Linked DNA regions of Drosophila melanogaster. The protein of the gene in region 2 interacts with the protein of the main gene of each other region in a pairwise test. Each region holds a gene or a part of one and is shown on either strand. Other genes may lie near its edges.

Region 1 (6,339 bases), on a different chromosome or scaffold from region 2:
AATTTGATTCACATTTGATATTATACTGAGTACTGGAGTGATAAGCTCAGCAACCAAAATTATCTACAACCTTAATGATTGTTTTTTCTTTCGCGTTTCCTTACAGAAATCAAATGGTCTCTTGTGAAGACGTCTAGAGGTTGACAAAACAACGCTGCTCACATTTAAGATTGTTTCCAAACCAAAAAAAAATATATATAAGAGTCAAAACTCATTAAATACCTCAATCTTGATTCTTATTATCTTATTGCTATATTGGTTGTTAACTATACGTTTTGTCTAAGGGAACATCGAATTACAGGTAGAATTACATGACATAGACATGAATTTACAGATCAATTGTGTCTGGTTGACACTTTTGATAACTCTCAATTCAGAAGCGGATCGTTAAAGTCACGCAATATTACTATACTCAAAGTTGTTGCAGAAAGTGTTGCGGACAGTGCGGTACGTGTATTTCCATTTTCAACAATTCCCATTTTCAACTGTAATGAGGGTCGCTTTTTTCTGTTATTACGTGAAGTAGTAGTCATTAAAAGGCAAGAATGTCACAATTTGCTCCAATAAAAGTTATTGGCCAATAAACGAATAAAATAGTTACCCCAGACCCTAAGCATGATTGTTTTAAAGCTCTTTATTTATGATGAAGGACTTTCTTAAGTTAGGAATGATTCATAGGCAACATACAAAATACATGATATGATAATACGAGTAGAATAAGATATAAAGTAAGTTGTATGTAGATTTAATTGATCGAAATTATGCGCGCACGTCATGACATAAGTAATTTTCATTTCCGTTTTTTGAAAAATAGTCATCAAGACGTTTTTAATGATTTCTGTAAAGATTAAAACAACCATAGAGATGCATTTTTGCGATATAAAACTTATACTTAAGTTTTATTCAAGAACACTTTCACTTTTTCGCCAATCAATAATAAGCTATTTAAGTAATGTGTTAATGGAACTTAAAGAAATTCCTAGTAATTACTATCTTTAATTGAAAGTAAGATTTGTTGTTGGTAACAGGGTCAACTGCTGACCATTTCATACGATCCCACAGTGGGCCGATATCAAAATCAAGGCCCAAGGGTAGCAGACTCTCTCATAAGGAATGGTATTCGTATTTGTATTTGTTGCTCTGCTTCCAGATAAGATTGAAAAAGTGCCTATGAGCACCAAGAGATAAGGCACACTTTTGCTTTTGCGATAACGCACCATCGCAATTTCAGGCAATCAATTAATGAGCCAGCTGATATCGCCGATTCCCATTCCCTTTGGGCCAGCCAACGTCAGTTAGTTGGAGTTGGAATTCGATTCACAGCGGGTCGAGAGTTGTAGATCGGGTCGAGAAAAAAGAGCAAATAAATAAATAAAGAGCACAGTGGGCAGCACACAAGGTAACCAATCCATCGGTTCTTCTAAGCCCGTAAATCAACATACCAACGATATGTCTCAGACATCTGTATCTTAGGATCTGATGTCATGCCAGTGAAAGCAATAAATAAATCTCGAAACACGGCGGTAAATAATTGACCCACAATCACGGCCTAAAAATACGCGATTAACTCTTATATTCGAGTCCTTATGTAATAAGCTGCCATTAACGATTGCTTCATGAGCGAAGAATTTCCTGGCTTGTGATAACTGCAAAACAGAAATAAAGTAACGCCAGCAAACTGAAAAAGCAAAGCAATCGCAAACACAGTGCCAATTGCGTTTATCTAATCGGACAGGTAGCTACCACACAGGTGAAATAGGTACTCTCCTATGTACATATGTACACCTATGTACTTCTAAATGCAAAGGTATCTAATGGTAGCCATCTATCTGATTCGCATTGCCCATTGGGAATCAATAGTTTACCAGAACGCTTTGATTACACACCGCCGCAATGGTCAAAGCAGGCAATAGGACCCTGAAATACTTCCGACCCATTTCGGTCAAGTATGGGTAAATATCAAATATCAAGCGTGATAGACAGGAGGCTATCTCATAGATTGAAGCATTGCCAACACCTGTCTATCATATACCCGTATACTTAAAGTGCCACTTTGGAAATTTTCGGTGTTTTACTGTTTATGTTAGCATAACATTCAAACAAAGAGATCTTTTCGTCCTTGATCTGCATTTATAGTGTAAAAGATGCAGAACAAGATAGAAAATTCTTTACTATTGAACTATTAAAGTTTAACCTATTTTCCTTGTATTAAAAAGTGTAAGAGCAACTATTACTCATCGTCAATTACCTCTATGTCATGCATTAGTTGCAATGTAGTGTTATCAACAAAACAAAAAGAAGGGCAAAGAATTGCGCAGTTCATATTCTACAATATGTGCGCCTGAATGCCAAACTTTACATGGAAACAACCAATAAGTGATAAAAAAAAAAAAAACTATAGTTATTTGGAATGCCCATTTCCCTATTTCTCAGGATGCCACAAAACGGCTACGAAAATGGAGTCCCTGGCGGGAATCAGGCAAATGGGCACTACGACGAGGTCAAGCCCACCTATGCCCTGGAGCACTTGGCCACCTTTAAGCTGAAGAACGAGGCTGAGGTCAAGCAGCCGAAGGAGAAGATGAAGCTTCTGGTCGAATTGGAAAAGACCGGGGGCATTTGGCCGCACAAGATGTTCATGAGCTTCAATGGGCAGTGGCTGGTGATGCTGGACAGTGATATGAAGGAGATTGAGAACTTTCCGGGGAGCCTGATCACGGAGCCCACGGCTTTTATAAGCGATCATCCGCAGGAGTCATTCAACAATATCCTCATTTTCTCAGTGCCCGGAATCTCACTGGGCAATACCGAAATGCACATCTTCCAGGTGAGCAGCCACGATTTTTCAGCACTTTGAGATCTGTAATAATTAGATCATTAATAGGTGGCCGATGTCAGTTCCGTGCTCTTGGTTGAGGATCTAAAGACGGTGAGTTGAGTTGAATAAATAGATCCCCGATCTATATAATCCCAATACCACGATTTCTCAGCTAAGCAAGGGAACCCCTGTGACAGTGGATCGCAACAAGACGCCCATCCTGCTGCCCAAGCCGGAGAGGCCGCAGAACCAGCAGGCCAAGGATCAGTATGGAATAGCAGCTGCTGTGGCCGGAATAGCAGCCGAGAAGAATGCCATAGACAAGGAGCAGACCGAGAGGGATGTCCAGGTGATAAACCACTGCTTCGAGGACATCGAGCGGTTCATGGCCCGTCTTCATTATGCCGCCGAGGCGCTTAACGAGCTAAAGTTGCGCAAGGAACAGCATAATCCCCACGGTGAGGGACTTTTGGTCCTGAGATCGCGACCACCAATCGAGAGCGAGTTCCATGACATTTTGGCCAAGGCGAAACTGGCCCTTATATACTCCGTTCGGCTGCAGAACCAATTCACCAAGCCCGCCGATCCGGTGCACAATGTCTTCATATCGCTTAAATCCATCGTCACGGTTTGCAACGATATCTACGTGGATGCGGGTCTGCCGCAGGCGGTACTTAATCCCCTCCTGCGCCGTGAGACCATTGCCTTCCTCAATGGCACCCTCGACTCCAACGAGATGCAGCTGTGGCAGAGCCTCGGTCCCAACTGGACGGTTCCCAAGGATCAGTTCAAGGATCACAAGAGCTCTTATCATCCGATCTTCTACGACGATTGGTCTCCCGATTGGGTGGTCGATGAGGAGGTGCCGTACCTGGCTCCTGCTCTAAAAAAGAGCACAACGCCTTCGCCAGTGCCGGTTCCCATGCCCCCGAGTCCAGGTCTAGGAAATCGCACCTGGCTGAGTAGATTGGAGAGCCGAAATGTCAAGATCGCCGAGGTTACCTTCAATAAGTCGGCCACCAACGATAAGGAACTAAAGGTTACAAAGGGAGAGTATTTGGAGGTAAGTACCTAATAATAATCGAAAGGGGTTTTAATGTCAGTTCTTATCATTCAGATCTTTTAGCCAAATTTATCCCAATTTCAAGTTCCTTTAATTAAGATTTGCACAACATTTAAAACGACTTGCTTTTTTAATCGTTCGCTGACGTATGAATGTATGTAAGAGGCAATTATTTTGGGTTACAATACAGTTTTGTAAATATATAGGAATGTCCACGTGTGAGAACTGAATGATTTGAAATCTTATAAGGCACAGGTCTTTTACTTTTATATTAATCTTTTGTTTTGGAATGTTACTGATATAAAAAAGCTTTAGATAAGTATTGGTTGTGAAGATATGAAAATTCATTGCCGGTAATATATATGATTCAATAATTTTAAATTCAGGCATTTGAGATGTCTTACCAATGAGAGGTCAGTAACACTATATCAATACAAAAACTTTGAATGCAATTACTAAACATTGATTATATTTTTAACTTTATACCATGTTTACTATACATGGTACCAATCTTATCGATTCCCCAATTACGCGATCTTACCTTCATATCACCATGATAACAGACCTTATAATAACTATCATATAAATCGTCTGATTCCAAGATTATCGATGACTCCCGCAACTGGTGGAAGGCCCGTAACTCGTACGGAAACATTGGCTACGTGCCGCACACAGTGCTCACGCCGTACAACTTTGAGCCCGGAGTAAATGGCCGGGACACGGAGTCGCTGGCCTCAATGGCTTTGACGGAGAACGGCGGCGAGGAGGCCATTCCTCCTCCGCTGTACCGCAACACAATGGCCATGTATACCGCTCCCGTGGAGCAGCCGGCGGCCAATGGCAAGGCCATGCAGCGCACCTTCTCGATGCCCAACGTGCCCGTTCCACCACCGATGCCTCCACCGAGCGATAGCCAAACGCCCACGCCCAGTGGCACACTCAAACGCAACATGGCGGCGGCAGGAGCACTAGCAGGTGGGTACACTAGTAAATTAAAAAAAATAATACAATATAATAATGATATTTGTATTTATCTCATTCGCTTACCAGCCATGCGGGCCCGCAATGATTGCGAGGCAGATGATCAGCTCTACTACATGCAGGGCGACGTGCATGATGAACTGCGTCTACTGCAGCAGCAGCGAGAGAGGCGCAAGGACCTCGAGATCCTTAAGACGCCGGAAATCTTCATCACCCAGAATTCAAAGCCAAGCGAGGTGGAGGAGTGGCTGCGGGGCAAGGGATTCTCGGACATCATTATCAAACGATTGCACACGCTATCCGGCGAGGAGATCTTCGCCCTATCACCGCACACCATCGAAAGTTACTTTGGCCGGCGGGAGAGTCGCCGCCTCATTTCCCAGATCGTGCTGCAAAAGAATTTCTGCGAGGTGAGTTCTTGGACATATCCTCACCTTATCTAATCTAATCGAATCCATTCCAATATCCAATTTTGCAGTACAAAACCATTCGATCATCGGAGCTTTCTGCCAAACTGGCACGTGCTCGCCAAAAGGCCGATCAGTCCAATGGCAATCCCAACGAGGTCTTCTAAGACTCCCAGTATCCCGAGTTTTTTAGCCGGAGACCAGAGAGACAAAAATGCTTCAGATGCCATTAATTTATTTATGTGTAATAATCCTTCATTTATGTTAAACAGTGTTCATACGTATATTAAAAAAAAAAAAAGACAAAAATGGGTTTGATTTATATGCATTTAGTGTTAACATCTCGAATTGATTATAAATGTAATATAGATACTTTATTTAAACACAAATATTTATGAAGTGAAGAAATCATATGATTTCCTGTTTAGAAACTTAACTTCCCTAAACTCAAAAGTGGTATGGCATGATTAATTAGGCAAGAATATGTTTATCATTACAGGAAACTTTGAGAACTGGTTATGGAACAGTCCTAATGAAACGCTTATTGGTTAACCCAGATACCTTATATGTCGAACTCCAGTTCGAATTGCAGACTTCAATCAAAAGACTTACGAAATAGCCGAAATGAATTGGTTTTTTCAATAAACACGATGTTCAATGTTATGAAGAAGTAATAGACGTCGATTAAGAGTAATAAGTGATAATCTTCATAAATTCTGCTTCGTGAGTGCATCCTAAAAGTCAAGTAAGTGGGCGTTTCAAACCGGTAGGGGCGTGGCGTGTTATTTACCTTTTTTGTGAACACATTGCGGGGGAAATAAGTATTTGAAAATGTAAGTCACGCGTCTGTTCACCAGACAAATCGGATTTGTGAAGTCACATGTTTCAAGGCTCCAACCGGTCTCTTGTTAGCCTGGTTATTTGGCTAAACATATGTAGCTTCACGTGTACTTACTGTCTAAAACATTAGAAATACAACATTTGTTCGATACAGATACAGAAACAGTTTCGGAATTTTGATTTTTCGAGTTTGTCCAGTTACAAGCGATGACCAATTGTTTCGCTTTCTG
Region 2 (3,750 bases):
CAAATTACAGCAATCAAATCATACGACTTACATGGGCATCAGTGATGACAATTCAGGGTCTGAATATTTTGCACTTTCAAATATCATTTAGTATGTGAGCAGAAATATTATACATATCATAGGTGCTGAGATTTCCAGGAATACCGGCAATACTATCTGAAATATTAGTTTTTGGAATATGGAATATATATATATTTGGAATATAGAATGAAAAACCTGCTAGGAGCACTAGCAGCACTTCCCTGGAAATGGAGGATATTGCGCTTCCCGAGCATATTTCCATAAATTGGTCACAATTTGCTATGCGCAGCAGCACGGAAGACAAAAGCCCTGAAAGGACGACGCACACACATAGGAAGGAATAAGCACTTGGCGCGCGATGGCAGCCGTTAAAGGATGGGCAGAGTCACCCAAAATTATGACGCCAAGGATAATCGTAGTGAAGCGAGTATGTGTTTCCCACTCCGCCGGGGAATACGTGAGGCGACTATAGTAGCCTCGGGATACCGGCACACGAATCGTGGCCAGAAAGTAGTTACTGTTTCTACTGCTCTACGCAATACTTTATTCATGGTACAACCGATATCTATCTCGAAAAGCATTGGTGCGCGTGGGATAAAATGTGAGTTTGACAAATGTATAAGGCTTATGTACTATCGTTGGAAATGTACTATGGCGCCCTTGGAAATTGGCCTACAATGTGTAGATGGCATTGACATTGGGTCCATGGTTCACCATGGCATCCTTGTGCACCTGGTACTGGATTTCCATAATGCCCAGATGCAGCAGCTCCTTTATCTGCCTGCCAATGGACAGGATAGCCTCTACATTGCGAGAGTCCTTCGTCCAAAGGGCTGTAAAGAAAGTTGACCTTAGAGATACCCCAATGTGAAATGCTGTCTTATACCCACATAGCTTATTAGCCTTGTTGCGCACATTGATGACCACTCCACATATCTCGTCCGAGTGCTGGAAGCACTCGCCAATCATGCACAAAAGCTAAAGGAGATAATGCTTTATAATGCATTGAGCTTATAATTATGGTGCAATCATGTGGCTTACCAAATCGTGCCACATCTTATCTATATAGGTCCTGGAGGCCTTGTCCAGGAGCAGTATCCAACGACCACCGTTCTTATTGGTGTCATCCTCCCACATGGGACTAAATATTTATATACATAAGACGAGGTTCAAAGAGCAGACTTTCAGAACTCACCGAATATTTTTCTTGAAGACCATGTAGTCATTGAATATCTTCAGATCCGATGGCGGCTTCACAAAGTAGTACACACTGTCGAAATAGAATAGGATATATATATATAGGATATATATATATATATATGAATCTGTGTCTGACCTGAAGAAGTCCTCAACGGTGTTGAAGCTGGTCACATCGACGAGCATTTCGGCCCAGCGCTTGGTACGATCGTTCTCCAAGTGCCACAAAGTCCAGGTATGCTCCAATGGATGCTTCATGGCCAGGTCGTAGTCGATGTTTTTCATCACCCGGTTCAATGAGGGCTGCAACTCCTCCTCATTGCCGCTCATCAGTTCCAAACCATCATAAACTGCCAGACCATGTGACCAGTCATTGGGATCTCCATACGGCACCCATGCTAAATATATTCGATTCGCATATCGAATGATGAATCGTAAAAAAAAAGATCTGCTGTCAGCTTACCAGTTTCCTCAGCATTCTGCAATCCGTTGCTTACGTAACCGGTGTACACCATTGTTTTTTATTGATTCAATGCGATAAACGAACCTTTTTTTGTTAGTTTTCTCGTTTTATTTTACTAAAAAAAACTCCTTGAAATGGTATATGTCTCGTGCAAAGTATAAGCGTTAATGAAAATGGCTTAACATGAGTGCACACTTTGACAAATCAAGATATGACAGCTAAAGCGTTGCCACCTTGGTTATGAAAAAGTATTGGAAAAGTCATGTGACCATCTCGTTGCGTAATATGCTTATTTTCAAAAGACTCTATCCCTTTATCGCCTTTATTATTTAAAATATTTTATGGTACATCCTGCCATTATTTCATCAATAAATCTTGTATCCAAGTCTTAAGCACCCCATTCAAACACTCCGATATTGCAGCTCCCATTCGCACATTTTGGTTGCAAAATCAAATTGAGTCGGTTAAGTACGAGCCCGAGGGTCTATCAATTGAAATGTCACGCTAATAAAATAAAATGCCACCGAGCATACGATAAATGCACGAAAATAATAAAATGTGACTCAAATGAGCGACGACGACAGCAACCACAGACACAGACACGGCCACACAAAGTTGGCAGCCGGAAAGACGGATACGATTGGGAATGGAACTGGAGCGAGTAGAGGAATCCCCCTTTCTTGTCTGCTCTGGCTGCTCCTTGTGCAACAGTTTGGCCTGCAGTCAATAATCGAAATCGACTTGGGCTTGTGGCAATAAAAATTTGTCTTCGCCGCTTAAGTTGTGCGCCTTGTTGCACACACAAGGTCCTGGGTCCCTCCGTGCCGGAGTCCTTTGGCAAAGCCCCACACCTCACCCCTGCCCGAACCCATCACCACGCCCCTGGCGGCGGTGCAGATAATAAAATATGTGAGTCGCTACGTGGCAGCTCCTTTGGCGTTGGCAAAGTAGCTTTGGGCCCTTGTAATGTGCACCATTTGTTGCGCGGCTGGTGGTGCGGTGGCACCAACTTGCACTCCAACCAAGATGCTCCGCACCAGCTCCATCTCCGTTTCCATCTCCATCTGCTGGATGCACGGGTGAGTTATGCCGGCCAAGTTTGGAACAAAAGTGTTGGCACTGCTCCTTGTTCTTGGTTCTCGCAGCCAAATAAGTTGCCAGCCCCAATTTACTTAAAAATTCTATTTATTTTTGCTTTTAAGCAGCTTTGGCGGCTGCTCCAGCTCGTATTTCTGGGATTTTTTGAGGAAAAAACTGCTCCAAATTTGTTTCGTTAATTGGGAGAATAAGTTAAAACAAGGAATTGTAAAATTTTAGAAAGTGTTTTAATATCTAGACTATCTTAACTTAAAGTACATTTTATAAGCTCGTATCGCACGTTATTCCCTTCCTCTCTTCACTTAAACAATAGATAAAACTTTTTCAGCTACTGCTGGTTTTTAATATTTATATTTTTTGACATGCCTGTTTATTCCTTGAATCCCATAACTAAAAATTACCTGCTCCAAATGGAGTTGGTAGCCCATAAATTCCCGAGAGGGAAAACTTTAGTTCCAACTCTTTTTTTGGGGCTTCTCCCCCATTCGAGTTAAGTTGCCGGCAAACGCTTAGCTATGCTTTGTTAGATTTGACTTTGTGCTCCGCTCTTCTCAGGTGGCACTTTGGCGTATACGCAATATTTTACAGCTTTTTGCACTTTGCTGGCTGAGCTGAAAATACATGGTCAGTAAATCTTTTAAAATATTGTAATGTTGAGGGAGTCTATGGGGGGATGGCTCCCGCACCAGCTTAAGCGATTTGAGTGCCGAAGCAGTAAAAACGCCCACAAACTGCCGGGGAAAACGAAGGGGAAAAGCGCGTAAATGGGGCAAACTACAAGAAGAAGCCAAGGATCCAAGGACTCAAGTATCCAAGAGCTAGGACCTCATCTTGAGGCAGTTCTGTGCAGACAAGCGCATGCAAGAAATGAAAATGATTTGAGGCATTATGTTCGCTCCGGTTTTACCCCGCCATTTCTCGTTTCGCTTCCGTTCGGCTGTCTTTTCTTCTTTTTTTTTATTTGTTTTTTT

What was found.
Region 1: the proteins of eIF4E3 (region 2) and CG8907 interact in a two-hybrid assay, tested with the Drosophila melanogaster proteins (one large-scale study listed by BioGRID).

The regions. Positions count from the first base shown.
Region 1 is NT_033777.3:17,006,977-17,013,315, forward strand, and holds CG8907 (uncharacterized protein), read left to right. Parts: upstream 1-1,853; 5' UTR 1,854-1,893; coding exon 1,894-1,952; intron 1,953-2,433; coding exon 2,434-2,827; intron 2,828-2,884; coding exon 2,885-2,929; intron 2,930-2,990; coding exon 2,991-3,881; intron 3,882-4,483; coding exon 4,484-4,856; intron 4,857-4,931; coding exon 4,932-5,272; intron 5,273-5,340; coding exon 5,341-5,436; 3' UTR 5,437-5,557; downstream 5,558-6,339. Other genes in the region: Irc (Immune-regulated catalase), read left to right, coding at 107-137.
Region 2 is NT_037436.4:8,227,365-8,231,114, reverse strand, and holds eIF4E3 (eukaryotic translation initiation factor 4E3), read right to left. Parts: upstream 1,892-3,750; 5' UTR 1,734-1,891; coding exon 1,682-1,733; intron 1,617-1,681; coding exon 1,358-1,616; intron 1,292-1,357; coding exon 1,217-1,291; intron 1,163-1,216; coding exon 1,063-1,162; intron 1,000-1,062; coding exon 912-999; intron 855-911; coding exon 694-854; 3' UTR 547-693; downstream 1-546.